Ovis aries: one gene and its partners. The protein of the gene in region 3 interacts with the protein of the main gene of each other region in a pairwise test. Links are inferred from orthologs where the notes say so. Each region holds a gene or a part of one and is shown on either strand. Other genes may lie near its edges.

The links.
Region 1: the proteins of LRRC7 (region 3) and HOMEZ interact in a two-hybrid assay, tested with the Homo sapiens proteins (2 studies listed by BioGRID). The two-hybrid records come from large-scale screens. The link is inferred for Ovis aries from reciprocal best matches to the Homo sapiens genes LRRC7 and HOMEZ.
Region 2: the proteins of LRRC7 (region 3) and NQO2 interact in a two-hybrid assay, tested with the Homo sapiens proteins (2 studies listed by BioGRID). The two-hybrid records come from large-scale screens. The link is inferred for Ovis aries from reciprocal best matches to the Homo sapiens genes LRRC7 and NQO2.

What each region holds. Positions count from the first base shown.
Region 1 is NC_056060.1:21,428,690-21,438,142, reverse strand, and holds HOMEZ (homeobox and leucine zipper protein Homez), read right to left. Parts: upstream 8,868-9,453; 5' UTR 8,756-8,867; coding exon 8,716-8,755; exon of another isoform or gene 8,545-8,715; intron 8,419-8,544; exon of another isoform or gene 8,111-8,418; intron 3,455-8,110; coding exon 1,875-3,454; 3' UTR 766-1,874; downstream 1-765. UniProt on the Homo sapiens protein: May function as a transcriptional regulator.
Region 2 is NC_056073.1:49,744,806-49,755,432, forward strand, and holds the start of NQO2 (ribosyldihydronicotinamide dehydrogenase [quinone]), read right to left. Parts: upstream 5,836-10,627; 5' UTR 5,677-5,835; intron 5,371-5,676; 5' UTR 5,331-5,370; coding exon 5,322-5,330; intron 5,144-5,321; coding exon 5,097-5,143; intron 5,030-5,096; exon of another isoform or gene 4,980-5,029; intron 4,900-4,979; exon of another isoform or gene 4,843-4,899; intron 4,837-4,842; exon of another isoform or gene 4,690-4,836; intron 4,552-4,689; coding exon 4,421-4,551; intron 4,204-4,420; exon of another isoform or gene 4,126-4,203; intron 2,482-4,125; coding exon 2,317-2,481; intron 1-2,316. UniProt on the Homo sapiens protein: The enzyme apparently serves as a quinone reductase in connection with conjugation reactions of hydroquinones involved in detoxification pathways as well as in biosynthetic processes such as the vitamin K-dependent gamma-carboxylation of glutamate residues in prothrombin synthesis.
Region 3 is NC_056054.1:45,328,225-45,338,919, reverse strand, and holds the start of LRRC7 (leucine-rich repeat-containing protein 7), read right to left. Parts: upstream 6,802-10,695; 5' UTR 5,597-6,801; coding exon 5,595-5,596; intron 1-5,594.

The DNA of each region.
Region 1 (9,453 bases), on a different chromosome or scaffold from region 3:
AAGAATTCTTGGCATCATTGGGGGGTGGTGTGGGGTGATATACTTATTAACCATGTTTTATTTATGGATTTCACTTTTTAGCTTTGTATATATTCTCCCATTGTCAGTTAACAAGCAGTAACTCTGTTCCTTGTCCTATTATAATTTTTCTATTTCCCTATTGTTTCCTCTGTACCTAGATACTGTTAAATATGTTGATTTTCCTTTCTGTTTCGTAACAGTTGGAAACACAGGCTTGAAGCCCTACTAAAGTATACAGATAATGAAACAAAGAGGATGCCCTTTTATTGCTACTGTAACTCTGTTGATGTCGTAAACTCTCAAATGGTGGGATAAGCAAAGAACATTACCACTGAGATCAAACATTTATTCTTCTTTGGGTAGTAAGGGGTAGAAATGAGGAATTAAATGGGTGGACCATAGGCAGGTATACCTTAAGTGAAAATACTGGAAAACTGAAGAGAGCATCCGCTAGAGATAAATTAGGTCTTAGGAATGACGTGGTAGCTGAATAGGATCCTATTACGTTTTCTGAAACTGAGCTTATTTTTAAAGGCATTTCTAGACTCCCCCTCTTCTGAGAGAGAACCTACGCTATAGCAGGTGTGGAAAGCAATCTGCCTATTAATAGGTACTGATCTATTTCAAGTTTTGTTCATTTACTTTACCTCAGTATATCCTGCTGCTTTGAAAATAAAAAGTATACTAAATCAGAAAGTAGATGAATTTGGTTCCATTAATCTTTAAACCAGAGAAATGGCAAAGTGGAGAGAGAAACAATTTTATTTTTGGCCTTTTTATTATTAGTCTAGCAATTTGGGGCTTCCACTCTTTTATTTCTAGATGGTTAACCCACTGATATCTTTATATCTGACCCCAACTGATGAAAACCACTCTAAAACATAAGGACTTCTGTCCTCAAGACAGATATTATAAACAGGGGGTAAAGTCTCTTTTGTGGACACAGACCAACACCAAAAAGATTAAAAAATCAGTTTCTGTCAAACTAGGCAGGTGGGAGTGTCAGGTTTGTAAAACCAAACCTGGAATCTATCTGGACTGTCCTCCCGAACAGCAGACACCATTCCCTCTCCTTTACTCCTCGGTAATCTATAATTCTACTTTTTTAAAAGGACATCTCCCCTAATTCCCTCCAATAAATATCCAGTCTAAATTATTCTCCACCCAATTATTAAACTTTTTCACAAGCTCCGGGGGGAAGATTTACCCTGAGACAAACAGTGAACAGAATGGGGATTTTTGGAAAGGTACAAGGCATAGTGGTCCCAGTATCAGAAATGAAAACATTCTGCTCCCTGTGAGATTCAAAAAGCAGCAGGAAAACACAGAAAATCAAGCTGGTATGAGGAGAGGAAGTATTTGCGATTGACTGGGACATAACTGAGATTCTTAGCTGCATTAATGCATGAACTTGTGTTCAGAGAGAAATGAGGTGCAAGGCAGCCTTATATTTGGGGAAAATGCTGGGACTGGGGTCGTATTAGAAACTTTCCTCCTCCTTTACAGAACTCCATGGCCGTGGGCCAAAGCCTAGCCTCTCTGTAGAATAGTAAGGTGAAAGAACAGGGATATGAAAAGAGCAAGAGCCTTTTCCCAGACCCATAGCAAGCCCCTCAGTGAGATTGGAGGCCTAGATTTCTGCCCGTCTGATCCCCACCTCGTTTTGTACTCCATGGTCATCCTCCCTGGTCTACCCTTACTATATCCCTGTCCCCCACCCTCAAGAACACAAAGTTTTTCAGTTCTTTGCCACAAGGTAAGTTAAAAAGAAAATAATGTGGTTTCTTTGTTTAAACAGTTAACTAAGTTGGTTTGTCTTTTAGTAACAGACCTCCCCTCCCCCAGCCTCCCACTCAGTCCTGGATGATCACATCATCATCATCGTCGTCATCGTCCTCCTCCTCCTCCTCTTCATCTTCTGGCAGTTCCTCCTCTTCCTCTTCCTCCTCTTCATCTAGACAGACCACCACTTCAGCTGGCTCAGGTAATCGAGAGTCAAACCAATCCAGTACCTGCTGGGTGCTAAGCCTTGATGCCTGACTCAGTTGAGGGATATCACTTTCCCGGAGCTGTTGGTGGGTTGCCCAGTACCTCTCCAAGGGTCGTATATCCGGTGGGGGCGGGGGATTTGGCAGAGGTGGTGTCTCAGCCCATTCATTCAAGGAGCGGGTTGAAGGTGGTGGTGTAGGAATTGCTGGATCCTGGAAGCTAGGGGCACCAGGTACTGCATTGTCCCGAAACCATTTTAGTTGCCCATGCTTCAAGGCATAGCGTGTGTCACCAAACCACTGAATAATCTCAGGCCGAGGTAAACCAGTGATCTGCTCTAATTTATGGTAATCCTCACGCCGTGCCCATTGGCACTGTAGAAAAAACGATTTGAGGATAGCCAACTGCTCTTTGGTTTTGCGCTTGGTCTTTCGCTGGCGTTGCATGTCTGGGGAAAGATACTCTGCAGGGCCAACCCTACCTGATGCTGAGTTATGCCTTAGCCCCTGGGGCCAAGCTGGCTCCAGCTGTGGGGGTAGTGCCTGTTCATTGGGTGACAGTGGTTGTGGGGCACAGCCCAGTGGCTGGAGGGACTTAGAGGTGGCAGGAGCTCCATTAGCCAGTCCCTGGAAAGAGGAAGAAGAGGTAGAGGAAGGAGGAGTCACATTAGATGCTGACTCCTTCTTACAACTACTGGCAAGTAATGAGATGGATTCGGGCTTATCCCGAGCATGGGGCTGGTGGACAGCTGTGGCATGGTTCCAGGAGGCAGTACCTAGGCTGTGTGACTGGTCGGGACACCTGCCTGCCTGCTCCTTGGAGAGGCCACTGCATTGATGATCCTGCCAAAATTGCGATTGATGGGGGAATGCTCCACTGCCAGGTACCATCAGGGTCTCCTTTGCTTTCTGGTGATTCAGTGGCTCCTCAGGCTCTACCTTCAATCCTTTCATCTGGGTGGGCTCGCTAAGAGTCAGGGGCACTATTCCAAGACCAACTTGTTCCGGAGGTGGCACAGGAGAAGGAGGCACTTCCTCTGGGGGCCGCCCTGCATGATGAGTAAAAGAGAGAAGGGATTTGAAATGGAGTTGGTCCCGATGGTAGACTACTCGGGCTCGAGTCTCTTCAATTTCTTCAGATGACCAGCTAATGCCACAGCGAAGGCGCTGGGCCATGAACCAAGTCTTGACTTTCTCCATCTGCAGCCCATAGCGCAGGCAAAGAAGGGCAATGTCTGCTAAACTGGGGTAGGGGAAGTAGCTGAAGGTTTGGAGCAAGTGTTCATTGCTGTCCAGCTCACTGGTCTGGGCTGCTTGGGTCCACACAAGCTGTAGTTCCTCAGAGATTGGAGGGAGGCAGATGAGGCCCGCAGGGGAGCTATTAAGGCTGCTGGCCTCTTTATTAGGAGGCATGGTGCTTTCTGATTTGTGCCCTTCAGAGATAGCTGTAATAAGAAGAGAAACAGCTCGATCACTGGGGTTCCCCTTTCAGGCCATTGCTCAATTTCTACCAAACAAAACGTTGGGCTCCAAAAACAATTTTCTATGTGTACTGTACTGGATTGCTTTTAAAGTGTTTAACAATTTCTCATTTAATTTTCATAACCTTATAAATCATCAGAGCCTGCTATAATTCCCCCTATAGGTATGAAAAAACCAAAGTCCAGAGAAGTTAAATTATTCCAAGTCACAAAAATAGTGAGTGTTGTCACCAAGATGATTATCTGACTTCTGAGGTTAAAAAAAAGGAAAACATCCTTAGAGCCTTTATCTTTCCCCTTCAAATTCACTTCACCCTCTAAGTTCATGCAACAAGAGTGACAGAATGAAGATTCACCTAGAAAACCCAAAGAGATGTATGTAATCTCAGAACACTTTAGCTCCTAACAGACTATTTCTTGAGTTATCTCTAGATTATCTCTAAAATGTGGAAGATTAGGAATACAAAGTGTGAGAATCTAGAAGGTACAGAAGGTAGAACAGCACTGTCCCTCTACCCAGCTCCCTTTTCTTTTCTTCTTTTCTTGGTGGTGGAGTGTTGCGGGAAGGTGACTGAGTTTAATTTTTTTCTAAGTCTCATTAGGATGAGATGGGTCAATGATCTGGGATGAATGGAGTTCCCCTTGGTTTTGATCCGGAGAGGGTAGAGGGAGGTGAATGTTTCCTTCCCCAAGACTTCCGCAGAACAAAGGTTATTCCCCTTTTTCCCAGCCTTTGTCTCTTCCAACTGCTGTCTCTCTCCAGGAAGCCTAGAGAGCTCCCTCAGACCTTAACAGCCGCCTCCACACAGGGCGGGAGGCCTGCAGCTCTTATCTCTTCAGTCCAGCTTTCTTCTTGGAACCAGGTGGGCAGGCTCATTATAAACTGTAACCAGGTCCTGCAAGCTACCCAGTGGCACCAGGGCTCCCAGGCTCAACATGGGTGTGGGGACTGCAGAGAAAGCCTCTGACTGTGCTTTATTCCTGGAAACCTGCCCAAGCTATTTCCCAGAATAATTCTGGGCCCCAGTTTGACTTTTTTTTTTTTTTGCCACGTGGCTTGTGGGGATCTTAGTTCCTCAACCAGGGATTGAGCCCATGCCCCTGCATTGGAAGTGCTGAGTACTAACCACTGGGCCACCAGGGACTTCCTGGTGATGGAGTTTTAACTCAATTCCCTGTTAAATGTTCCCTGTGTGGGCATTAGAGACTAACATTATCTGTCACCCTTTACTTTTCAAGGACTCCCATCTGAGTTTACAAATAGTCCCTGTAACACATTACGGAGAGGACAGCATGCCTATGTAAAAGTTACAGATAGAGCAGTGTAATATCGGAAATTTTATATGATGAACAGAAAAATTTGGCAGCATTCTAATGCATGTCACCATTCCCTTTTAACAAGAAAATCTTAACAAACTGAAGGCCATGCAGACCTTGAATGCAATACAGTTTGAGAACCTTCAGAGGGTAAGTGGAGGCAGCATGGCATAGTGGATATGAATGTGATTAAGGCCAGCATTACATAGGAAGTTTGAATCCCAGTTCTGTCTGAACTTACAGGCGCCTCAGTTTCCTCATGTGTAAAAACTGAAGATAATGTTGAGCGTATGTAAAGTTACATATGTTTTTACAGAGCACCTACTGTGTGCTAGGTGTTGTATAGGCGGGGCCTAGAGCTGTTAGAGGTAGAGGTCTAGGGTGAGACAAATCTGAGATGAATCACAGCTTCACCACTCCCGAGAGTGCTTGCTGAAGCCTTAGTTTCCCATCAGAATAAAAGGTGATAACAGCATCTACCTGCAAGGTTATGACTAAAAAAATGCAACTGACATTATGCCTATACTAAAGGCTCAATAAATTAGAGTTTTTATCATTGCTTCAGCATCATGGGATGATTCTGAAAAGTAATGCTCCTCCTAGGCAACAGGGGAAGTGAGGCAAAGATGGAATATTTTAAATTACTGTATCCAATCTGTTATTGCAGAGTCCTAATTCTAATGGGGGAAACCAGGGTATCTGATTTTGTACTTTTTATATTTGGGGAGTTGGATATAATTCCAGAAAAGATTTTGCTGCTTTTTAAAAAAGTATCAAAATGACTGCTTTAGAGAATCTATAATTTAGATATAAATCCTTTTTGATTGCTGCCGGGTGAATTTTGATTGCTGCTACCCAACAGGTTCATCTCAAGACACAGCTGAGTGGCTGTGAGGAAGTGCCTGCATGGGTAGGTACTTAAAACCACCATTTGGAAGTTGTGGCCCACCAGGAACACCACTACATCTAAGCTGGAGAATACTTGATGATCCAACGCTCGACACCCACTCAACCTTATTCGTGCCCTATTTTTTTAAGGTCGTGGCGACAGTTTAGACGTGAGGAAAAGGTAGCACAAGGAATAAAGCAGTCCAGTGTGAGGTGAAGACTGCTAGACAGGGAATAAGGCAGGTGCAGGTACCAGCTGACAAGGAAACAGGTTGCTTTCATTCGTGTGGTCTGCTATCCTTAAGATTCTCATGGCTTGATAGTTCAGTGTAACAGTACTGCAAAGGTCATATTTGGTGTACTGCATACATCCACATTTCTTCAGTAACACAAAACACAAGTTGTGAAAGACTTTGATACAGAATGGTGCTTTAAAATTAGGACACAGCAGTAGAGCTGGTACCTCCCTGGAAGAATCTGGCTTTGCTATAGGAGGAAACTAGAACCAGTTCATGAGAACTATAACAAAGAGGGTAGATCCTACAGTAATCAAAAGCACAGTGAAGGCACTATAGCATCTTGTGTCCTTGTACCTCATTTGGAGAAAGTAGAAAAAGAAAGAAATCAAAGCTGGAGAAATAAGGACTCCTCTGGGCAGAGGTGTCAGTGATGGTGGTACTATCAATTCTGAATTTACTAAATCTGTTACCATGCCAGATATGTCCTACTGCTACTTAAGTCACCAATAAAAAGTACAGAGTCAAGGCCTGTACTGAAATAAGTCAAAGCCTTATTTCCCTTTGGGCTTTCCATATCCCTGGACAAAAGGCAGAAAAGTATTAATGGGCTGCCTTAAACTTCTAGTGTAGGTGTTCACACAAGGTTAGGAAAAAGAGATCTTCAGAACCTGAGCCTAGGTTGGGAATTTCCTGGTGGTCCACTGGGTGGGACTCCACACTTTCACTGCAAGACGCATGAGTGTGATCCCCTGGTCAGGAGACTTAAGATCCCACATGTGGCATGGTGTGGCCCAAAACAAAAATCTTGAGCCTAGGCTTATGGTTAAAACAGGTGACAGTTCAAGTGAAGACCAGATATGAGCCTGCTAAGTTATCTAAGTCTTTATTCAGAGAACTGAAGAATGTTCCTGAGTGAGATGTGTTTTCGTGAGTTTTCAGGGCCTTAAAGGACATTTAGTGATACTCAGTTCATGTGCTTCTCACTTTTTGGATCATGACTCTCTTTGACAATAGAAGTTAAAGGTTCTCAGAAAGTTACGACTTACCTCGCATCCCGCCCCAAACATTGAAACTTACAGATTATAAATTATTATCTCAGGGGATTTACTGATTGTCCAGAAGCCCGTTAGAAACTCTGTCCTATGTCCTCCCAACTTAGTAAAGGCATGGTCGTAATTGCTTTAAGAAAACAGTTTATGAATGAATGGAACAAGTGGTTGGAAGGCTGAAAGAGAATGTAAATTAGTTTAGAAGGGACTAGGTACTAGTGCTATTAGCTGGACAGAAGCGAAAGATGTTCAGTTGGTTTAGGAGCTTGGTTTAACTGATCCCCACTGGATTACATAATCAATACCCACAGTGCACTGGACACTAGAGGCTGGTAGCCTAGTCTCTAGCATGGCAAAGTCATCTACTTCCTTCAGCTGCCCTATGTGCTGAGGCCAGTTATGTGTGATTCCAAATCTGCTTATGCCCCTTGTTTTTCTCTATATAATTAAACATCCTATAAACCTATGAAAATCAGTGCATTAAGAATTGGTTCTGAAAAAAAAAAGTCAAATGCTTTGGAAAGACATAATACAAAGAAATGCACATTAAAAAAAAATTGTTGAGTTGGGAGAAGGCAAGAAAACTGTAAAAGACTGGAGGGGCAGGAGACTTAAAAATCTCAAAAGTATTCTGCATTCATATTGCTTCAAAAGTGTTTAAATTCAGTCTCCACTTTAAAGAAACCAAACCTGGAAATCACAGATGATGATGCAGTGGTTCCAGTCTGACTGCATATTAGAAAAATTCCCCGGGGAAACTTAACCCACGCTATCCACCTCGTTCTGATTTACTTAGCCTGGATTGGGGCAGATGAAAGTAGTTTATTTTAAAGTTCTCAGGGTGCAGCCAGATTAGAGATTTGCTTATGTAGTTGATATTAGAAAGACAATTGGGACTGCCAATCAGCAACACAAAGAAAACGCTGGGACACTTACCCAAGAAATTGGTGAGATGAAAGTACTTTTAATGACAATGCTTAGGATATGTATGCATCATTTTAAAAATTCCCTACTTTCACTGGCTTACTTTCAGTTACTGCCACCTACCTATCCTCAGCATAAAAAGCCCTTCAAATGTATGGTGAGAAGAGGGTTCATATAAAATATATCATCTGGGTCCACATTACCAAATAGGTCTCAGCTTGAGTCTTCTTTCAGTTTAGAAGTCTCTGATTAGGAGGCAACACCAGGAACCTTTGAGGACTCAGGTTTTCACTTTTCTGGTTGGTTTTCTGAGTATGGCTGGGTAGGGGTCAGAAGGGGCAGTTTCTCTCAAACCTTTCATTCCCAAAGGCCATGCTCCCCAGGAATAAGGCCAGGTTTCTGTACGTGTGTTGAAGTCGCCAGGAGGCAGTCATGGAGGGGAGGAGGGGAGGCCTGGGAAGGAAACGTTTCTCCTATCCTCCATTTCGCAGGCAGTCTAGAAGGCTCCAAACTGGGTCAGAGAACAAAAAGTTGCTGCACTTGGGGCAATGAGCCCCAGGGAGCAGGCAAATCTCAACCCTCCCCTCGCCAAGGGCGTCCCAACCCGGCCTTCCCCTCCTCCTATACACCCACTCACCCTCCTCCAGTTAAAACAGGGAACCGAAAAGTCCTGAGGAGAAAGGAGAGAGAACCGGACCACTTCGAACCTAGAATTCTCCTCTTCCCTCCAGCGCGGAGATGGGGCTCCGGAGGTCGGAGATCGTACAGGGACTGCAAGGGGAAGTCGAAAGGGCTGGGGATCACTCACCGCAGTCCAGCCCGGGCGGCGGCTCCCAGCCTCGCACCATGGGCCGGGGGGAAAGGGGGAGAAAGGGCAGGGGGCCTCCGGGGTGAGAGTGGGGTTGCTGCCCGGCGCGGCCTGCTCCGAGCCCACCCGCGCGGAAGGCCAGGACCGGGACTGCCCCCCCTCCCCGCCCCCGAGAGCGCGCCCGTCTAGCCCAGCCCTGCTCCAGCGAGTTGGAGGCGGGGCGGATGGGTGGGGTGGGCTCCAGGGGTGGTGCCAAGGTGGCCCGAGTTTTGATTGGTGGGCGCAGGCAGGCGGGCCCTCGCGGAAAGGGCTGGGCCGGCCATTGGCTGAGTGGGTCTCGGTTGAAGTCGGCTATTGGGTGCGTGGGCCTCAGCCGGGATGCCTATTGGCTGCATGGGACAGGGAAGATGTCCCCCCCAGGCTAGGATGTCGTGAACAGTACCCCCTCCCACCCTCGCCGTATGGGCGCCGGATCTTCGGTGTTACGCTGGGCAATGTTCCGCCTGGAATTCCCCAAGAAATTCAAAGCAGTTTGCTGAACTGTCCAAACCGCCTACAACTACTCCCTATTTGTTTCCTCCGGAAGGAAGACGTTTTCAGTATCCCTTTGCCAGCTTCGTACAGGAGACAAGCGTTCCCAGCCTGGGGTCAAACCGTCGTCAGCAGCGTCAACTGTAAACGAAGCGCCTACAGCAACCGTTAACTTGTTCTAGAGATGGATCAAGTGTCTTGCTGCTA
Region 2 (10,627 bases), on a different chromosome or scaffold from region 3:
ACCCAGTAAGAAAGATTTACGCAAGATCTGCATGAAGGAAACTCGTAAATACACCTGGAGGATCGTAGAAGAACGTGAACACATGAGGAACCACGCCTGTTGCTGGAACAGCAGGGAGTGGCACTGAGAAGTTCCGCTGTAAACAATCCGTTACCTTCAGAATCTTGCCAACTAAAGGCTGGAGCTTGCCATCTGCTCTACAGGGATTAAGTCACAAGCTGCTGTAGCCACTGATCTTCAGCACCCCCGGAAAGGAGTTCAGGGTGGAGATCAGGAATGAGACGCTCTATGCTCCAGGAAAAGGTAGAAAAACATGCCTTCAGATAGGTATTTTCAGAAGATTTTATGAGCCCAATTCTTGCAAGTCCTCATGTCTCTAAAGCACTGAAGTCACTAATGGTGACACCTGCTCCTCACGGCTAGCAGCAGCCTTCCGCCAAAATGTGGGCCTGATGACCACATGCCCCCCTCACCTGAATCCCACCCATCCTGACCTTCCCTCCAGCTCTCTGGAGCAGTTCCAGAGATAGCTGAGAGGCTGTCTCCCAGGCCACAGTCCTCACTTTATCCCGAACAAAACTTAATCACAACTGTCTTTCCTGGTGGTTCAGCCAATAAAGAATCTGCCCACAGTGCGGGAGGCCTGGATTTGATCCTTGGGTTGGGAGCACCCCCTGGAGGAGGGCATGGCAACCCACTCCAGTCTTCTTGCCTGGCGAAGGCCATGGACAGAGGAGCCTGGTGGGCTACAGTCCCTGGGGTCACAGAGAGTTGGACACGACTGAGCGACTCAGCACAGCACAGCTGGCGTGCTGTGCTTTTTATTTTTTCAGTCCACAATCTGGGAAGCTAATTCAAAAAATCTTTATGGGAAAGTCCAAGTAGCTGTAAAAACAATAAGGCAAATGAAGGTGCCCTGACTCTCGGAGATGGTACACGATGCGCCGAAATAGCGAGAGCCATGCGGTCCTGAGTCAGGGCCAGGAAGACAACAGCGGAAGACAAAGTGCAGGAGACTCTGAGACGCGTGGGATTCAGGGCTCGACAAAGGCGGCTTTCTAAGGCAGACAGCTAGATAATGTAATAAGTGGGGATGAGAGCTGAGCGCGCACTTGGGAAAACCTGGATCCACACCTCACATCACACACTGAAATAAACTCTGAGTAGAGAACGTGCTTACTTGTAAAAAGGGGAACCTGCCAAACACTATAGCACCTTCCAAAAATAAGCATAGAGTTTGTGTGGCACAAAACGCAAGGTCTAAATTAGCAACTAAGCAAAAGTAAACAGAAGCCAGCACCGCAAAGCCGAAACTACAAATACACTGGGTAAAAATGCGTTTACAATTCATGCTTCAAACTCTACACCAGAGGCCGTTTCCCACCTGTCAATTGGCAGTTATCAAAAACTCCGTAAAACAAGGAAAGGAGCACTTGCGAACACTGTGGGTTGGAGAGTGAACTGGTACAGCACTCACGGAAAGCAGCTCAATATTGTCGATGAAAATTCAAAACACACGTTCCCTCTGCCCAGCAACTCCATTCTAGATACACTCGCACGCGTGGGAAAGCATGCGGCCGCCACTTTTGCTGCGGTCCTGTTATCACAGCAAAAGTGAGAAGCAGCCGGAACTGCACGAGCGGGCACTACTGAAGCCTCGGTACCTCCAGACAACGGCAGAAAGAGGGAAAGCACCACGCAAGGCGGCATACAGGAGCACGTGCTCCCATTTTTAAAAAGCGGAGAGAAAAGCCGTTATTCTGTTAACTGCTTTAGGTGCCCCCAGAGACGGCACAAACTGGCCCCAGAAAGATGCAGAGGCAGTGGGAGACCCCGGTTCCTGTGGGAGCCGGGAAGCTGGCTGGCTGGGGCTGCGGGAAAAGCCGTGCGCTGCGGACCTTTTCGACATGAGAATTGTACACCACCTCCAATGATGAGTTTTGTTTACAAACTTTTTTTTTAACTAAAAAAAAAAAAAAAATTCCAAGAAGACAAAAAATACTCCTAACAATCTGATTTAAAAATGGGCAGAGGATTTGAACAGGTATCTTTCTGAGGAAAACACAGATGGCCAACAGGCGTGTGAAAAGACGCTCAACAGCACTGATTATCAGGGACACAAAGCAAAATCATGGCGAGACACCACCTCTTGCCGGTCAGAATGGCTGTCAGCAAGACAAGACACCCAGTGCTGCCGAGGACGTGCAGGAAAGCGGACCCTCGTGCGGCCAGTGTACGGTGAAGCCACCGTGCGGAACAGTGTGGAGAGTCCCCAAGAAAGTTTAAAAAAAACAACCCAGAGCATTTATGACTCACCAGTGATATCCTTCCCTGTGGCCCTGGGCTCAAAGTTCATGGCATAGAGGTCAGAAACGGTGACGGTGCAGCCCTGCTGGCTCAGCTCAGCCACCGCCACGTCCTTCAGGGACCCGTTCAAAGACCTGGGCTCTTGGTGTGCGTAGACGATGAGCACTTTCTTACCTAAATCCAGACAAGAAACCATTTCTCTTGAAGAATACTTCCTCTGTCAAAGCTCCACAAGGACCCAGCTGATAGGAGGACACACACAACGGCTGAAGCTAAGTGAGAAAGACCGACGCTTTTTGCGGGAGACGGCGGTAAACCAAGGAGCATTTTCAGAACCTGGCTGTATCAGTTCACCACTGCTCGAGTTTACCAACATAGGAGTCAAGTTACAGTTCCCCAGGAATAACACGACTGCATTCTTTTAAAGCCCAATCTCTTCTGGTTATCCACTACGAGATGTTTCAGCCATGTGGCCTAAGCTCAGAATAAGAAACTACTGTGACTCATCTTTCCTGCTAACCCCTTGTTGGCAGGTCAGTCGCTGACACACAGCTCTGCTTCCTTCCTCTCCACTGAAAACTGACACATAGATATATTAAAAAAAAAAAAAAAAAAAATCAGATCCTGAGTCCCATGGGGAGGCAGGGCCTGCATGAAGCCCGGCTTCGGTGGAAAGCCTAACAACAGAGGCTCCACCCACTGCCTGGCGGTTGTCATTCATACCAACAGTCTCTGAAGCTGCACGGAGAAGGCAATGGCACCCCACTCCAGTACTCTTGCCTGGAAAATCCCATGGACAGAAGAGCATAGGAGGCTGCAGCCCACGGGGTCACAAAGAGTCAGACACGACTGAGCGACTTCCTTTCATGCAGTGGGGAAGGAAATGGCAGCCCACTCCAGTGTTCTTGCCTGGACAATCCCAGGGACGGCGGAGCCTGGGGGCTTCCCGTCTATGGGGTCGCACAGGGTCGGACACGACTGAGGCGACTCAGCAGCAGCAGCAGCTGGAGCCGCACTGTCCTCCTTCAGGACATTCTCCAAGGTCGAGTGCCAGTTCCTTCTAGAAGGCAGCTGTAGGGATGTGTTTAAATTTTCTGTGGGAACCTCTTAAGACTAAAATATTTAAACTCTTGATCCATATTATTCTGTTTAGGCCCTTAAGGAGAAAATATAAATGTTAGTTTGAAGCAAAGAGCTTTGGGGCACTCAGCAGAGTGTAAAGGTTGAAATGCACGAGTGAAATTAATGATTAACAGTTTTAATGTCTCAGACTCATTTGTTATAAAGGAACTTGGGGGTTTAATAGGAAACAGGATACAAATGAAATATCCACAGTGATGGTTCTCAACCAGGGAGTGTTACCTCCCAGGGAGTGTTTCACAACATCTGGAGACATGTCTTGCTTGTGGCATCTGGCGGGAGGCGCTGCTGCGGAACACAGCTCGGGTCAGGACCCCCCGGCAGAGCACTCTCTGGCCCCAGATGTCAGCAGTGCCACAGTTCCCTGGTGGCTCAGATGGTAAAGTGTCTGACTACAATTCAGGAGACCTGGGTTCGATCCCTGGGTCGGGAAGTTCCCTGGAGAAGGAAAAGGCAACCCACTCCAATACTCTTGCCTACAAAATCCCTTGGATGGAGGAGCCTGGTGTCCATGGGATTGCAAAGAGTCGGACATGACTGAACGATTTCACTTTCAACGTACAACATATGTGTAAAATAACGTGAATTTTTATGTTATGAAATGCAAGGGTTTTCATGCTATGGTGCTGAACAAAAAGATGTCACAATGGGATGCATGCGTCATGCGGCATTTCTAACCATGGTCACTCCCGGGGCTCAGTCACTCAATATCTATTGATTGAGCAGCTATTATGTCCCAGGGGGTCATCCCAGAGGCTGGAGGCAAAGCAAAGACAAGATAAGCATTCTATTTTGGTGGGGCTGAAATGAACAATAAAACAAGAAAATACAAAACAAGATAATTCCAGGTAGCAGTCCACATTATAAACAACTTTTACACACGAGTGTTGTCTGGAGTTTTAATAACAAATTATTCAATTTCTAATAAATTTTTCATTTAACAAAGTTTAACTCCCCCATAGCTAACAGTCACCTGCCATGTCCCAGGAAGATGGGTATTCTTCTCTCTGAATCCTGCCGAGAGGAGGGTGTGCTGTTTTGTTAGTCCTGGGTGCAGGGGGCCCTGAGCTCTCAGGCACGGTCACTCTCAGTGATGCCAGTGACCTAGAAGAGGAAACAAATGCTGAGGGAGGTGGAGAGACATGGTGGGCAGCTCGATGTGCAGCCGTGGGCAGGCTGAGGCAGGGGAACAGCAAGCGTGAGGCAGCGTTGGGACTGGCCTGGGGAGCTCAGATAGCCTACACGGGACATGCGGTTACAACAGAGCTGGGTGGTGGGAGATTCCGTCCAAGGGCTGGGCGGGTCAGAAGTGCACGAGTGAAGACTTTATCCTGAGCCTGGCAGAAGCCCCAGGAGCATGTCCGGAGAGTGATGGGCTGCAGACTCAGGGAGCACCTTCTCCTGAGGTCCCCGGGGTCAGGGCCCAAAGACAGTCTAGTTTAGGAAGAAAAGCTTTCATTTCAGTGCTGACAGCAGGGGAGGCATCCCCTTATCTCTCTGCCTGGTCCAGTGTACCTAGTTACATCACCTACCAGGCCGCTGGAGGCCTCGGAGTTCTGACTCCTCGTGGGGTCCAATTCTCCTAGTTGTACAGAATGAGAAACTGAGGCCCAAGAAGCAGGCCACTTGTCCAGCACTTCCCTACTGACCTTGCGCCACAGCAGGGAGAGCCGTCTCCTTCCGTGAAGAGGGCGCCCTTATCAGGCAGACAGGAAAACAGAAGCGTGTCGCTGTTAAACTACATACATCACCCCACACCAAACGGACTCACACCCTTTATGCACTCTATTTCGTTCCAGCCTCCTCGACCGCTCCTCTCCCGGGCTCCCTCCATCCCCCCTGGAACCGTAAAGAGCGGCGCAGGAAGCACACACCACATACATGTCCCACTTCTTGGATTTTCTGGCTGAGATTCTCAGGGAACTAAGGTTGGAGAAGCTGAGTTTCGGGTCCTGGCACCCGGGGCAAAGGCCGAGCCGGAACCCCGAGAGCCCAGGCCAGGCCTCCGAGCCGCCTGCTCGCGGACCCCAGGCGGCCCCTTGCCGTCCGCGCGTGGCGTCAGCGCGGGCCGAGTCCAGGGCCGAGGGCAGCGGCTGGGGGCAGCGACGGGCCTGCGCACACCCGCGCCCCAGGCCTCGCAAGTGCAGGGGGAAGCTCGGGCACGCGGGGGTGGAAGCCCGCGGAGACCCTGGCCCCGGGAAGCGGCCCCCGGAGAGCGCGGACACTCACCTCGGCCAAAACGCCCGAGTACGACCGGCAGGACGAGACTTCCCTCTGGGAGAACGTCCAGCGTCCACGCCACGATCCGGCCGCGCGGACTACGCACTCACAGGCGTCGCGAGCGGACAATGCGGGCGCGCTCCGCAGGCCTGGACGCGGGGCCCTGCCGGCGGGGCCCCGCCCATGCCCCGCCCACGAGCGCCGAGGCCACGCCCCCCGCCTCTGTCCGGAGCGCAGCCCCGCCCCCGACCTGTCCGGACCTCTCCTCGCGCCGCCCCGGCATAAGCCCCGCCCACACGCCCTTCGCCCCGCCCCTACCCTGTCCTCGCCCCTGGGAGCCGGACCCGGCTCCGCTCCGAGGCAGCTGAAGGGATGGCAGTTCTGGGAAGGGGGTGCGCCGTGTCCGCCCCTCCCGCCGCCTCTGCCCCTAGGCCCACTCAGGGTCAGAGCACTCAGCCGTAAAAAGGGTGAACGATCGGGGCCTCAGCAGCCGGGGCAAATTTGCAGAGAAATACGCTGCAGGAAAATCGCCAATCCCTGAGGGTCCCCCCTGAACGATCACGTTTATGTATCATTCTCGAGATGAGATTCTAGAAACGGAGAGCAGGTTGGTGGTTGCCGGGTTTCTGGTGGGCAGGTGTGATTCTAAGGGGCCTTGTGCTGATGGGAATGCGCCGTGTGTGACCGTTCAGGCGGTGGCGCTGTTCTGTGGTCTGGCCTGACGTTCTTATTGGGGAGGCTGGGGGTAAAGGGCGCACAGGCAGGTTCAAGGCCAAGGAGATCCCCGGAAGGCAGAGAGACACCGAACTGGAGCCTGCAGACGTGTGCGGGAGGGCTTCTGGTGGGCACTTTGGGCCAATTGTCTCTTTTCTCTCTCTCTAGCACTTTCTGGCCTGCACCACCTCATTTGTAGACCCCCTGCCATTGGGACTCACTAGAGGACCCTCCCAAACTCTGCCTTGATTTCTGGTGTCCCGGGATGGCCCTTGGGGCTCTCCTGGTGGCTCAGACGGTAAAGAGCCTGCTTGCAATGCAGGAGACCCAGGTCTGATCCCTGCGTCGGGAAGATGCTCTGGAGATGTTCATGGCAACTCACTCCAGTACACTTACCTGGAGAATTCCATGGACAGAGGGTCCATGGGGTTGCAAAGAGTTGGACACCACTGAGTGACTAACTCTTTCACTTTCAGGATGGGCTGAGAGAGCGAAGGCTGGTTCCCCTTCGAGCATAACATTCCTGATGCAAACAGCTGCAGCGTCTGCAGCGTCTGGGCGGTCTGTCCGAGGCTGCCGTCTTTCTTGGGTTCATAGTGAGGACGTGGTCTCTCTATGCGTGACATGCCCTCATGCCAGCAGCAGACAGGCCACCTTATCTTGTGAGCCTGGGAGGTGCTGGGGGCCGTTTTCATTTTAGAATGACCTTTGCCTGAGGGAAAAGCTGTGGAGGCATTTCCAAATGTACCAGAATGTCCTCAAAGACGAGATCTGGCTTAGTTTTCTTCCCTCTTTCTCGTCAGACTGAGATGATGTCCCCAAATCCTCTTTGAGTCACATGAGATGATTGCAACTAAGAAAGGCGGATGCAGGGACTCCGGGGTAACCTTCCAAGGGGGGGGTGACTGACCCTGTTGTCCCTTGGGAGGGGGTTGTTCACATCTTTGGTGTCATGAGGTTGTGGTTGTTTATGCAAAGTCATGTTCAACTCTTGCGACCTCATGGACTGTATAACCTGCCAGCCTTCTCTGGGATTTCCCAGGCAAGAATACTGGATTGGTTTGCCATTTCCTCCTCCAGGGGATCTTCCCAACCCAGAGATGGAACCTGCATCTCCCACTTGACAGGCAGATTCTTTACCACTGAGCCACCAGGGTGCTGTGAGGACCAATAGGGAAAACAGCCGGGCCTCCCGGTGACTGTGGAGCCGCAGGCAACCAGGCTGGGAGCCGTCCAGACCCTGGTGTGGAGTGGAAGTGCTGGGCCGGAAGGGAGATCAAGATGCGACCCCGCCTCTGAAAACTCGCAGGTCGGGGGAGCGTCTGGGTCCAGCCGCGCTTTGATCCTAGTCCGCGAAGAGGCAGCACCATCTGGCGGCCGCGCGCGGGAATCGCAGGTGCGGAGGGGACGTCGCCCTCTGGACAAGGTCAGCTGGCCGGCGCTCCCCTGGGTCTTCAGGATGGTGAAAGCGCCAGCGGTGGATTGGATAGGGGCCCGTCTGGCGAAGAGAAATGTGATTCCCTGCTAATCTGGCGTTTACTGCACACAGGACATTGCTACTGTGAGCCTACGGAGGAGGCGGTGCTATTAAAACGAGATATGCAGATACAGCATCGACAGCAAGCATGACCTCTAAGGGTCGTAAGTGGAGTGTTCACTTCACCCCTTGCAGAGCAGAAAGAGGCTTAGGCTTCCGGCGGGTGTCGGGGGGGAGGGGGGAGGCAGTTAAGCCAGCTGCATACTTCTTTGCCTCAGTTCAGTTCAGTTCAGTTCAGTCCAGTTCAGTTCAGTTCAGTCGCTCAGTCGTGTCCGACTCTTTGCGACCCCATGAATCGCAGCACGCCAGGCCTCCCTGTCCATCACCAACTCCCGGAGTTCACTCAGACTCACGTGCATCGAGTCGGTGATGCCATCCAGCCATCTCATCCTGGGTCGTCCCCTTCTCCTCCTGCCCCCAATCCCTCCCAGCATCAGAGTCTTTTCCAGTGAGTCAACTCTTCTCATGAGGTGGCCAAAGTACTGGAGTTTCAGCTTTAGCATCATTCCTTCCAAAGAAATCCCAGGGTTGATCTCCTTCAAAATGGACTGGTTGGATCTCCTTGCAGTCCAAAGGACTCTCAAGAGTCAGCTGCCCCTTATTTTGTGTTTCAGATGAAAATTAATATTGAGGGTTACCTCAAGACTAATCGAAGTAGCTTGAACGTTTTCCTAGAGAAGTAGTTCCTTTTGGTTTTATTTAACGGCTTTTCTTTCCTCTACGAACATCATCCACCTTCTTTTGGGAAACAAACTTCCTGAGAACTCAGGTTGTGTTTGTAAATATATTTATCCACCTCTCTGCCTGGCCGCACTGGGTCTCGGCTGGGCGTATGGGATCTAATTCTCCCACCAGGGATCAAACCCCGGGCCCCTGCATTGGGAATGTGGAATCCTATCTCCTGATCACCAGGGAAGTCCCTCTAGTTAATCTTTTTTTTTTTTTTTTTTTTTATGGTGGTAAAATCTCTGTAACAAAAGATCTGTCGTTTCAACCATTGTAAGTACACAACGGTATTAATTATATTCAGTGGCATTAATTACATTCAGAATGCCATGCAATGTCACTATTTTTACTTCTGAAAATTTGTCATCATCCCAAACAGAAACTCACTAATCCTTAAGCAGAAACTCCAAACTCCCCACTCCACCCAGGCTCTGTACCGATAATCTTTCTGCTTTCCATGAACTTGCCTGTTCTCGATGTTTCATACAATTGGGATCATGCAACAGGCGGCCTTTTGCTCTGGGTTTCTTCACTGAGCACAATGTTTTCAAGGCTCATCCGTATCATGACATGCATCAGAACTTCACTCCTTTTTGCTGCTGAATAATATTCTACTTCATGCACATACCACAGTTTATCCTTCCATGTGTTGTTTTAACCTTGCATAGGTTGATGGACACTTGGGTCATTTGGCTGTTGTGAATAATGCTGAAATAATTATTGGGGCACAAGTGTCTGAGCCCCTTTTAAAAAAATCTGGGTGTATACCAAGGAGTGAAATCGCAGCATCGTGTAGTAACTGTTTTGCTTTTTAAGGAACTGCCAAACTGGTTTCCACAGTGGCTCCACTGTTTTGGAGTAGGATATGGCAATCCCCTCCAGTTTCTTGCCTGGAGAATTCCATGGGCTGGCTACAGTCCATGAAGTTGCAAAGAGTCAGACACGGCTGAGAGACTAACACGCCACGTCCGCTGCTTTACGTTCCGACTGATTTCTCTACATTTCTCATCATCTGCTATGTTGCTTTTCTTTGTATTATTGTTTTAGCTGCGCTGATGTTTTTCCTAATGTCTCACTGTGGTTTTGTTCAGCATTTCCCTGGTGACTAATGATGTTCAGAATCGTTTCTTGTGCTCACTGGCCATTTGTTTACCTTTGATGAAATAGCTATACAAATCCTTTGTCCATTACGTAATTGGGTTGTTTGTCTATTTGTGGTTGAATAATAGGAGTTCTGTATATACTGTGGATGTTATCAGATTTATAATTTGCAAGCATTTTCTCCCGTTCTGTAGGTTGTCTTTCACTTTTGGGGGGAGGGTCCTATTTCTCTAAAAGCAATTAGCCAGAGTTTCCCTTAGTTCCCTCCCATAGTTACTCCTTGCTTGCTGCTGCGTTCCCGAGGAAGAGTTGGAAGATGGTTTGGAGGCATTGTCTTTGCTCAGGGAACAGGCTGGTTGTCTGAGTCTTTTCAGGTTTCTTTGGACATTTCAGGACGAGCAGATGTCTCATGTTTTCAGGGTGTCCCTTGTCTCCCTTTGAAGATCATCCAACCCCGGAAATCTCAAGAAGCAACACAGCGGCTTTTCTCAAATGTAACTAGAAGAGATCGACCTGGCCAGTTTCGTTAGGAAATTAGCTATTATGATGATTCCCATACAAAACCCCTGGTTTCTGAGAACTTTCACTTCCTGTGGTATTTTGGGAAGACCTGCTGCTTGTCAAGAGTGATTGAGCTAGATTCCTCAAATGCTGTGGCTGGAATTCTAATGGCAACATGTCGTGAACTGGCTATTTCATTAATAAATCGGAAATGGATAATGTGCCCACGAAATGGGAATCTGGAGACCAGATTCAAGTAAAAAACTCCATGACTAAATAGGTTTTCGATGTTAAGTGGCCAGTCAGGCCATGAATAATCGACTCATTAAAAACGAGAATGCAGGCATCTCGTATTTTAACTTATTTTAAATCATCGACTCA
Region 3 (10,695 bases):
GAATTAAGTCAAATAGCTTTCTTAGACTGTTTTTCACATCTTTTTCTCTGTTAGCTCTGTATTCCACAGTACCACTTTCTTTTCTTTCTCCCTGTGAAAATCTCACAATGATTGTACTTACACTATCAGTATTTTTCTTTTCAGGTCACCTACCTCATCTGTATTGTATAATTGAAACCTATAGCTTCTCATTTCTTCTTACTTCTTGAAGAGCACAAAATTTAATTCTCTCTCTCTGCACATACACACACACACACACACACACACGTATCCTGAAATTCCCATGTTCTTAATAAATTTGTTATTCTATCACCTTGGCCCCGGTATCACTATTACCTAAGGTTAAAGATGTTCTCAAAGTACTGAACTTGATGTACAGCAAAAATATACTGATGTAACTGAAGAAACTGCCTCACTAAGAAAGAGGAAAGTGAAGTCTTTAAACAATGTTAAGTATCTATTCTAGTATTAAAATATTTAAACAGATCATGCCAATGCTAATATAAATTTTAATACTTCATCTCTGATAAATACTATTGCTTCCATGTTTATTAAAGTAAAATAATATTATTGTATAGAGATTTTTAAGTAATTTATCAAGCAGTAAACCATATAATGAAAGGGAGTATATGTAGGAAATCTTTGGGTTATTAAATTTATTTAATAGTTTTTCATGTGTCATTGAATGACAAATGATAATTTTTCTGTTATGGTTAATAATTTAAATAGCATACATGATACCTCTCTAGGGATTTATATATCAAATATATCATCACTGTTTCAAAGTAGATATGACAGCTATTGACCCAAAATTGCTTTATTGAAAACTTCCTTAATGAGCTTTTATATGACAGGTTCTACGAGTTTATTAAATGTTTCTGTCATGAGTTAATTATGCCAGGAAGACAAGCAGCAGCATTTCCTATACCAATATTAAAAGATGACCACAAAAGTAATGTGGTACATTATTGCCAAATATGTTGATAACTTTGAAAAGCTGTTTCAAAATATTGTTTTCTTTATTCATTAGGAAATAATTCAATGACCTACAGATTTCAGTTATTTAACAAGCACCACTTTTCGCCTATGAGGGAGAAGACATGGTATGGAGGAAAAGGTACAGGAGACAAATCTGAATTTAAATCTTCATCACTTTCTATTTAATAGCTTTGTGACATGAACTTATCACTTCTGTCTTTGAATCTAAACATTCTAATTTTTCAAATGGTGATAATATTGCTTCTTTAAAGATTATCTGGAAATAAGCACCTGACTTAGGAACTGGTAGCTGTTACTGTAATTATGCAGTATGTTAAGAGAAGCCAGACGATCAGGGTTGGCTCTTGGGCGCAAAAGCTCGTGAATTTTAAGCATATCAATTAATTCCAAAATAGGAATGAAATATATTTCTTATTTAAATAGCATACCTTAAAAGCATATTCCATCACTACATATAACCACGTATACACACACACACTACTATGGAAAACCTGACTTGTACCAAAAAGTTTATGTTGCACTCCTCTAAAAGGTACCATCTGTCTTATTATTTGCTATGTATTAGAATTATAAATTAGGAATTATCACTACTTCTATTTTCAGCATTAAAGGAGACTTGTTTGTATTACCAAATCACATGTTAATTTTGGAAGTATAATACATTTGGTTTTCTTAATTTTCTTTCACTATCTCAGGATAATTCATTAGAGTATTTTCTATAAAAACATGAATATTTCTAATGATTAAAGCCTGATTCACAAAACATGGTTAAAAACTTTGTAAAGGGAAAATATTACTGATTTATGGCCATCATTTTCCAAATATTGCTGACTTATGGTACCACTTTTAAATCTGAGTTTTCATTGACAATTCACAAATCAATATTTTAAACATATGTACAAAACCTATCATCTAGGAATCTCTTTTCTGATTTTGTAGTCCCTCAGAGTATAATTTAATAGCAACACTATATGGTCAAACTGCTGCTTGATACTAAAATTCCCTAATCCTGAGGCATTAAAAACCCTCTATTGAATACTGATGTAGTAAAGAGCTTCAAAGAGAAAAACGTCAAGGTTCTAGGAAGATCCCAGAATCATCTTCAGTATGTTCTTCCTTGGAGATATGAATCACTTACTGGTCAGCTGGCTTGGCACAAACTGAAGGTCTGTTTTTTGTCATAGATATGAATTAATGTTTCCCCCAAAGTCATCTTGCAAATTCACGTGACTGACTAGACCCAGTCAAAAAGAAATGTGGATGATACTCTACAAAGCAGCCATTGTTACTGGAGAGACCCAAACAAGTAATGTCTTTTTGTCTTTTATTAATTATTATACTCAACAAATGGCACATGTTCTCTAAATGAGAAATTTTCCAAAAAATATGAAATAATTTATGTAAAGGAAAAAAAGGGAACAAGGATCCAGAAATAACTCAGATGGTAATTTAGTAGTAGTTGATTACTCTTTGTCTACTCTGTTAATTTGGGTATAAAATGAAATGATAATATCATCGAATGAGGGATCCACTCATATTGAAGCAAAAGTCATCAAAAGATAAAATTATAGTAAAAATAGGTGTAATTTTGATACGTCAACATATCTTCAAATTTTCAAGTGTTTTAAAAAGGTGACTATTTTAAGTCATTTAAAAAAAAACTAGGTTTTTATATCAAGTATTACCATGGACTACAAACTGCAAATGAGAGAGATCTAAGAAATGCTCTGAGAATTAACACTATGTGGATAATACTGTCATTTAATGACTTTATAATCGCTAAAAATTCAGTGATACTAATTTCCATCTTTGCAATTTTTAAAAAATAAAAAACACACCAAAATACAGACACGCAAAACACTTCAAGCTACGTTTTGAATTTTATAAAGGAAGCAGAATTTAAAGCTTATAAACAAAAGTGAAATGGGATTTTAGTTAAGAAAATTTTAATGCCAGCCTAAAGCAGCCCTAAAATTCAGAATAAAACATGGCTCCTGTAACAGAAACAGGTTTATTTCTTTAGGAAGTGGTTTCTAATTCTGAAGCTGCAAATGTGCAGGCACACGTGATGGGGAATGTAAGGGTTGCCATGGAAGTACACATCTTTTCTTGGACAGTCAAGTCTTTTTAAAAATGCATAAAGAACTTTCACTTCATAATATGCCATGGAAATTGACTCTGCTTTCCTTACCAACATATTAGTATGATGCAATGCAACATAGTACAGAAATAACCCACATTTTAAAAAACTTCGACCCAGTAAGATCGCTTATAAAACATGGAGTGAAAAATGAAATAAGAAATCTCCAAGTCGGAGAACTAATTGTGGGTCTAGAACAAATTCTAATTCCATTAAATTAATAACTAATCACACCTCAGGACATTCCACAGGCCTGATGATACACTTCCTGGGCGTCCAAATGCAAACATCACTAAACATCACTCTCGACATACTTTGGTCTTATGCCTTATTTTTAAGGAAAAATAAAATCATTCCTACATTCCTACTTTCTCAACGGTTTCCAAGAAGCAAGGAACAGACTCTGCTCTACCGTCTTTTGCCCAAAATCCCCTGGAGGTTCTCTTAAGAGTCTGTGAAGTCAGCTCAAGACGCCTGGATGGAGGCGTGACACTTGGACTGGGGAGGTGGCAGAATCTGTTGAGAAACGCAGCAGGTTCTGAGGCGCTAGAGAACCCACGTGTACAGGGCCTGGGGAACTTTTCCGCTACGTCTCCCGGAAGGAAGGTCTCACTTTTAAATAGGGGGCTAGCGGCGGCGAGGAGCTGGGTGGGTGGAAGGTGGGCAGGAAAATAGGAGAGGTGGTGGCGAAGCAGAAGGTTCAATCCCTTCGCAGGTATCTACTTGTGCTTCCCCACATTCTAGGCTCTCCCTCATCAACTTTATTATTTTTCCGTTTTACAGGAGGGTTTAAGCAATAGGGATGCTGAGCATCTCATAGGCTCAGTCAGGAACAAAGAAAACCGAGTTCCTAATACTGTATCTCTCCCGCTGGAGATCACGTGTCCTGCTTTCGCTGGAATGCACTCTTCTCGCCCACGCTATAAAATCTCTATGGTGCTTAGAAATTTTACCCACGTTAAAATATGCTCACTTATGAATTGCTTTTTATCTACCAAGAGAACCACATTTCAACGTACACAGGTACACATTTACGTGGTGACCCAGTTACCACTGCAGGTGAATTCTGTGTTGAAAGTGTATTGGGAAAGTAATGGAAAAGAGCAGGTGGAAGATCGTGTCTCACTGAGCGCACCCTGCCCTCCCCCGTTTTCTAATTTCTTTTGAAGAAGTTCGAAAGGAACGTGGGAGTCGTGGGAGTCGCAGATGGTTCCTTTTTGAAGCCGATTCCTGGGAGTTGTGAAAGTGACCCCTTCCCTTCTCTGCCTGGCGCTGCGCCCTCTCGCCCAGCCCTCTCGCTTTGTGACTTGATGGGGAGGAGACAGTAAGGGAGAGGGCGGAGGCGGGTCCTTTATGCAGACCTGATGGCCAAGAAGTAGTATAATAAGGCAATTTTGCAGCTATCTCCATTATCATGAAGTCATACTATTTAAAAAGACATTCTGTAAAAGTCCCATCCCCTATTCCCATTCTTGACTCTGCAAACTGTAAAGACAGGAGAACCTTTGGCACCCAATTTAATTGTCCGTGAGCTAAGGTGCTATTATTACCCTGATGCTAATGTGCTTTCCTCCCTCTTTCCACGTAGGACCCAAAACTAGTCCTGCATCCTTAATGACTGAAAGAAGGATGCAAGATGCTGAAGGGGGCCCAGCGCTGGGATTGGGAATAGCGCTGCTTCACCAGCTTCTCCGAGCAACACAAAGGAGATGTGTGGGCTGGAGTTGTTGAGCTTAGGGGAAGGAGACATCGCTTTCCCTGACTCCCGGGAAGAAGGGCTTCGCTCCATCGCTCCCCTACTTCTTTTGGTCCTCCAGTCTTTTATACTCTTTCTTCCCCTTCATCCCCTCCCCAAAACCCCACCCTATCCCTTCAGTTCCCAATGGCATAAAGGTCTTCTAATTATATTTTTCAAACAAATAGGCATCACACAGTAATACTATAGCTTTTAAGATAAAGGGACAAACGTGACCTGCCACAAGTGTGTGTGTGAGAGAAAGAGAGAGACAGAGAACCAATATCAAAGGAGCGCTTCATCCTTCAGACACCTCCGGAAAAAGCTGACTGGAGATATTCAGATAATAAAGAACTGTGATCAACCTCAACCTCAATCGTCGGTCTCAGCACCAGCACCCAAAATCGCTCTTTGCCTTCCTTTTCGCAATATGTAACCCTTTAAGCTCACCCGCCAGCCCAGGCCACTCGGCACTCCCCAGCACCCGCAACAGCAAGCACGCGATTCTAAATGCCCCGCAATCTACCACATCCTCACCACCTCCGCGGGCCAGCGGGCGAGCAGCTCCCAGGGAGCGCTGAAGGCTCGGGTTCTCCTAACCCCCACCCCCGTTCCGTCGGCCACCTGGGTCCCTCACCTAGGGCGCTCACTGTCGCTGAGGCCACAAGCGGCGAGGCCCCCGCGACCCCCTTGGCCCCGGAGCAATATTATCCTACTCACATCGCCGGCGGGAGAAACTGCCCATGAGGTTCCGGAGAAAGTGAATCGTGCAGCTGCCGAGGGTTATTCCTTAAAGTGTCCGGGGTCCGCAGTAGAGTGGGCACGAGGGACCTCGGAGGAGAGGAGGGGTGAAGGAGGAGAAAAGAAGGAGAAAGCGGGGATTCCAGGCAGCTGCCACGTTAGACCATGATGCTGGTGCCCTTCAGGTGGACAGCTGAAGAGGTTTCCGCGGGAAGCGGCCGAGGGGAAGCCCGAAGCGCTGGCGGGGGAGGCAGGAGCGCATCCACTCCCCAGCTTCCGCCTGCCTTGCGCGCCGCGCTAGCGACCGCAGCAGCAGAGGCGGCCGCGGCGGTGGCGGAGGCGCAGCTCCCTCCCCACCCCAGAAGGCTCCACAGACAATAAATCCTGGGAGGAGAAGAGACGAGCCAAAGAGGCGAATCTTGCACCCAACTCCGTAAAACCCCGTACCCGCTGCCGCGCCTCTCCTGGGCGAGGATCCCCGGGGACCCAGGAAGCAGCGGGCGGTTCGGAGGGGCCGTGCGCTCCCGCGGCTGCAGGCGACGGTGGAGTGGGCGGGTGCAGGTCCCTCCGGTGAGAACTCGCTGCGCAGGAGCTGACTGTCCGTGGCTTCAAGCCCGGGGTTCTCCCGGAGTGGGGTCCTCCTCGGTGCAGTGGCTTGGTGCACAGGTGCCTGGATTGGCAGTCGAGGAGGCGCTGCTCCTGGCTCTTGGCTGTCTCCCTGATCTCCCCGCCCCCTCTCTTATTTTTCCCACCCCCTTTTCCGACGACACCAGCTGCAGCAGCCTCAAAGTGCTAAAACCTGTCAAGGAGATTTTCCAGCAATAGGGAAGGGGGTGACCACTTTCACAGTCCTCGGCTCCTTTTCGGGATCTTCGCCTGCCCCTCTGACCTCTACTCGGGCTCCCCCAAATTGTGAGAAGCAAATTCCCAGTCCCGTGGAGTACTGAAATGGTTGCCTTCTCCCAGCTCTGGCTGTTTTTTGTAAAGAACGGGACGACTGGTCGAGCTCTCCGGGGTCTTTCAATCGCCCGCTGGGCTTCAAGCAGGTGCTCGAGGCACGGCGCCTCCGGGCAGCGCGCGGCCGCCGGCTCTTCCTGCAGCTCAACCGGCCCGTGGCGCTCCGGCGGCCCCGGCGCGGCGTCCTGCAGCGCGGGCGACTCCGCCGCACCAGCGCCTCCGGGCCTCTGCGCCTTCCCGAGCGCCCCGCATCCGCACCGGCTCGGTGACGCTGCGCCGGTGGCTCCGCAGGCTGCCGCTCCTGCTATCTCAGCAAAGAGGCGCCCGGGAGCGCCTCCTCGGGGTTTCCTCCCCCGCCCGCCTTCCGGCTGCAGGTTGTTGGCTGCCAAGGAGAAAAGTCTCTGCTAGCGGTTCAGTCTCTTCACATCAGTCAAGGCAACGACCTTTGTGCCTGCTCTCGAGTTCCCTTCTCCTTCTGGGGCCCGGGTGGCTGCCCTGGGTGTTCACAAAATTAGAAGGGGTTTTCCAACCACCCTTCACGCTTCCACCCCCTCTCCTCAGGCCAGGAACACGCATTCTCACACTCAGGCACATTCATCTCCTCTCTCACGTAAAGGCACACACAGACATATAAAGTCTCACACGTCTTTAAACTCCCCAAAGGAGCAATATGTTAAGAAACCCCTATTGACGAGGCTGGTGCTATATTTAGACTTCTCTTTTATTCTCTGAACCCAACAGGTCAATTCTCTCTTTAAAATAAGATTTATCATCCTGAAATCATTTTTTTTTTCCTTTTCTTGGAATACAGGGGCTATAAGCTTTTCGTTTCCTCATGATAAGTGAGAATGTCCCTTCATCTCTCTACATCGCTGATACAGTAGACGTCATGGTGTTCAGATGCCACTCCAGTGGATGCAAATTCACAGTTTACTAAAAAGAAAATGCATTTGCTCATATTCTTGAATTTGCAATGCTAAAATCTTCAAGGTCAAAAGCCATCTTTTCCGGCTGCTAAGGGTTGTCTAGGAAGAGACTTGGGAGATTGACACCTGATCAGCAGAGTACCAAGAATGATTATTTTCCACTTTACCTGGGACATGAAAGAGGGGTGACTTTTAAGGATAACTTTCCAGTGTATCATATTATTTGCATGTAAAAGGAAAAAGGAATAAAAGCATATTTTTAAAAGCCAGGTCATTTTAAAAGTGAGTTATAAAACACCACCAAGAAAGGGTTCTGAAAGGGCAAGGAAACAAACAAAAAAAAAAATTAAGGACAAATTTTTATTTTTATTTTTATTTTTACTTTATTTTACTTTGCAATACTGTATTGGTTTTGCCATACATTGACATGAATCCGCCACAGGTGTACATGAGTTCCCAATCCTAAACCCCCTCAAAAAGGCAAATTTTTGAATTGAGTTCTCTAGGGCTCTGCTTTTTCAACCCACAGTTTTATTCTTATAAACATATGCCACATCTCAGTGTTTCAGCTGGACAGTAATATGAAAATTTTTAGGTTACAATTGAAAATCTAAAAATAAATAAATAACCTCACACAACAATTATACAGCTGTATCAATACTGTTATAGGTTTGCAGTTCTTTTGGATGCAGTTTGCACATAACTTTCACATATATCCATTATTCAATCATTTCCTAAAACTGTTTAGTGGACAATATTTTCCCACACTTATTGGAAGGGCACAAGGCTCATCTCAGAAATGTACCCAATTGCCCTGCACCTGAACTCAGAATTTCTTATTTTAACTCCAGGATTTAACTCCCTTTTACCAAAATATTTTACAAAAAAATTCTGTATGTAAAATCGCAGCCAATTATGAGGAAACTTAAGATCATTGCAAATAGGTAACCAAAGAACTTATATACCATGTGTTAAGTGGAACTGTTTTCTTAAATAAAAACAAAATTGTCCCCTTCTAATAACTGCAGATGGTGATTGCAGCCATGAAATTAAAAGACGCTTACTCCTTGAAAGAAAAGTTATGACCAACCTAGACAGCATATTCAAAAGCAGAGACATTACTCTGCCGACTAATGTCCGTCTAGTCAAGGCTATGGTTTTTCCAGTGGTCATGTATGGATGTGAGAGTTGGACTGTGAAGAACGCTGAGCGCTGAAGAATTGATGCCTTTGAACTGTGGTGTTGGAGAAGACTCTTGAGAGTCCCTTGGACTGCAAAGAGATCCAACCAGTCCATTCTGAAGGAGATCAGCCCTGGGATTTCTTTGCAAGGAATGATGCCAAAACTGAAACTCCAGTACTTTGGCCACCTGATGCGAAGAGTTAACTCATTGGAAAAGACTCTGATGCTGGGAGGGATTGGGGGCAGGAAGAGAGGGGGACGACAGAGGATGAGATGGCTGGATGGCATCACGGACTCAATGGCCATGAGTCTGAGTGAACTCCGGATGTTGGTGATGGACAGAGAGGCCTGGTGTGCTGGGATTCATGGGGTCACAAAGAGTCGGACACGACTGAGCAACTGAACTGAACTGAATGAGGAGAAGGGCTTCCCAGGTGGCACTAGTGGTTAAGAACCCACTTGCCAATGCAGGAGACATAAGAGGCTCTTGTTCCATCTCTGGGTCAGAAAGATCCGCTGAAGAAGGAAATAGCAAACCACTCCAGTATTCTTGCCTAGAGAATCCCCATGGACCGAGAAGCCAGGTGGGATACGGTGCATAGGTTATCAAAGAGTAGGACATGACTGAAGCAATTTAACATGCATACAATGAGGAGAAAGATATTTTTGAAACCCCAAACTAAAAATTGATGATACCTCTGTAATATATTTCAAGACATATGTACTCTTTTCCTCTTTGTCATATCATAGAACCTTGATTTCAGACTCTAGAGGTTCAAATGGATAAATCATTTTAAATACGAGCAGGTGTGATGCAACGCCTATGGGTTTTAACAAACACTATTTTAGCATTAAAAAAAAAATAAGAAGGAAGTGTTCTCTGTAGAATGAGCCTTGAATACCATGATTCAACTTTTTCCTAAGATTTATGAATCTTGAACAAATTTTGGCCACCTTCACTATTTAAACAATGAAGCATACTGAGGAGATTTCAATAGTTCCATAGAATTATGGAACTATTGAAATGCAAATGCGGATGCTTGTCCTAAAACTCCAAGTTGCCCTGTCATCAACCCTCTGGAAATGCAGATGACTGTCTGAACACTGGAGAAAGATGAATGCTGAATATCCTTAGGCTGTTGCTCAAGCAGAGATCCAATTCCAAAACATTAACAACTCCAAAATTAGATCAAAGCAGTTTTAATAGATTAGCTATTCAGATTACATCTATCAATGGCTAAATATTAAATCCATAAAATTTCATAAACTGTTAATCAACTCCTTTGACTCACTACTAAAATTTTTGAGATGATAATCTGTGTCTAGGAAACGCAGGACCAATAAAAGACATATGGTGATATTAACTGTCAGGTGTCAACTATCTTTCTAATAACTTTCTTTAGAGGCCTGGTTTTAGAGAAGTTGCTTGGCAATTCCTGATTTAAACAAAAACCACTTATGTATCTTAATATCTTAATGTTTAATATCTTATCTAATATCTAACTTAATTAGATATTGGTTCTTATTGGAATTTTAAAAATGTTAAATTTTTATGTATGGGGATGTAGATCTGAAGAGCTCAGAGTTCCTGGAGCTTGGTATGACAGGATCAACATTAGTGGGGAACCATATGGGTATGGAGGGCTGTTAGTTTTTGAAAAACAGGGAGAAGCACTGAGCAGGAAGTGGGAGTCATTAGATTCTTCTTCAAATTCATTTGTTAGATGGCCTTACTGTGAAACTAATCTCTCAGATTAACAGTCTAATTCTAGTGAAAGAGAAGGGTTATTGTTACATTTAATGCATTTGGATAATTACTTTTTATTTTAAACATTAATTGCATATTTATGATATACAAATTACAGTGAACACTGATGTATGAATCGTGCATCTCTTTTAAGAAGGACAATATGATTGATTAAGACTGAAGCTTCCTCTGCCATTCCTTTACCTCTTCTTCCCTCACCCCACAGAGGCAACCCCATTCCTAAATTTTTGTATTTATTTGTACATTA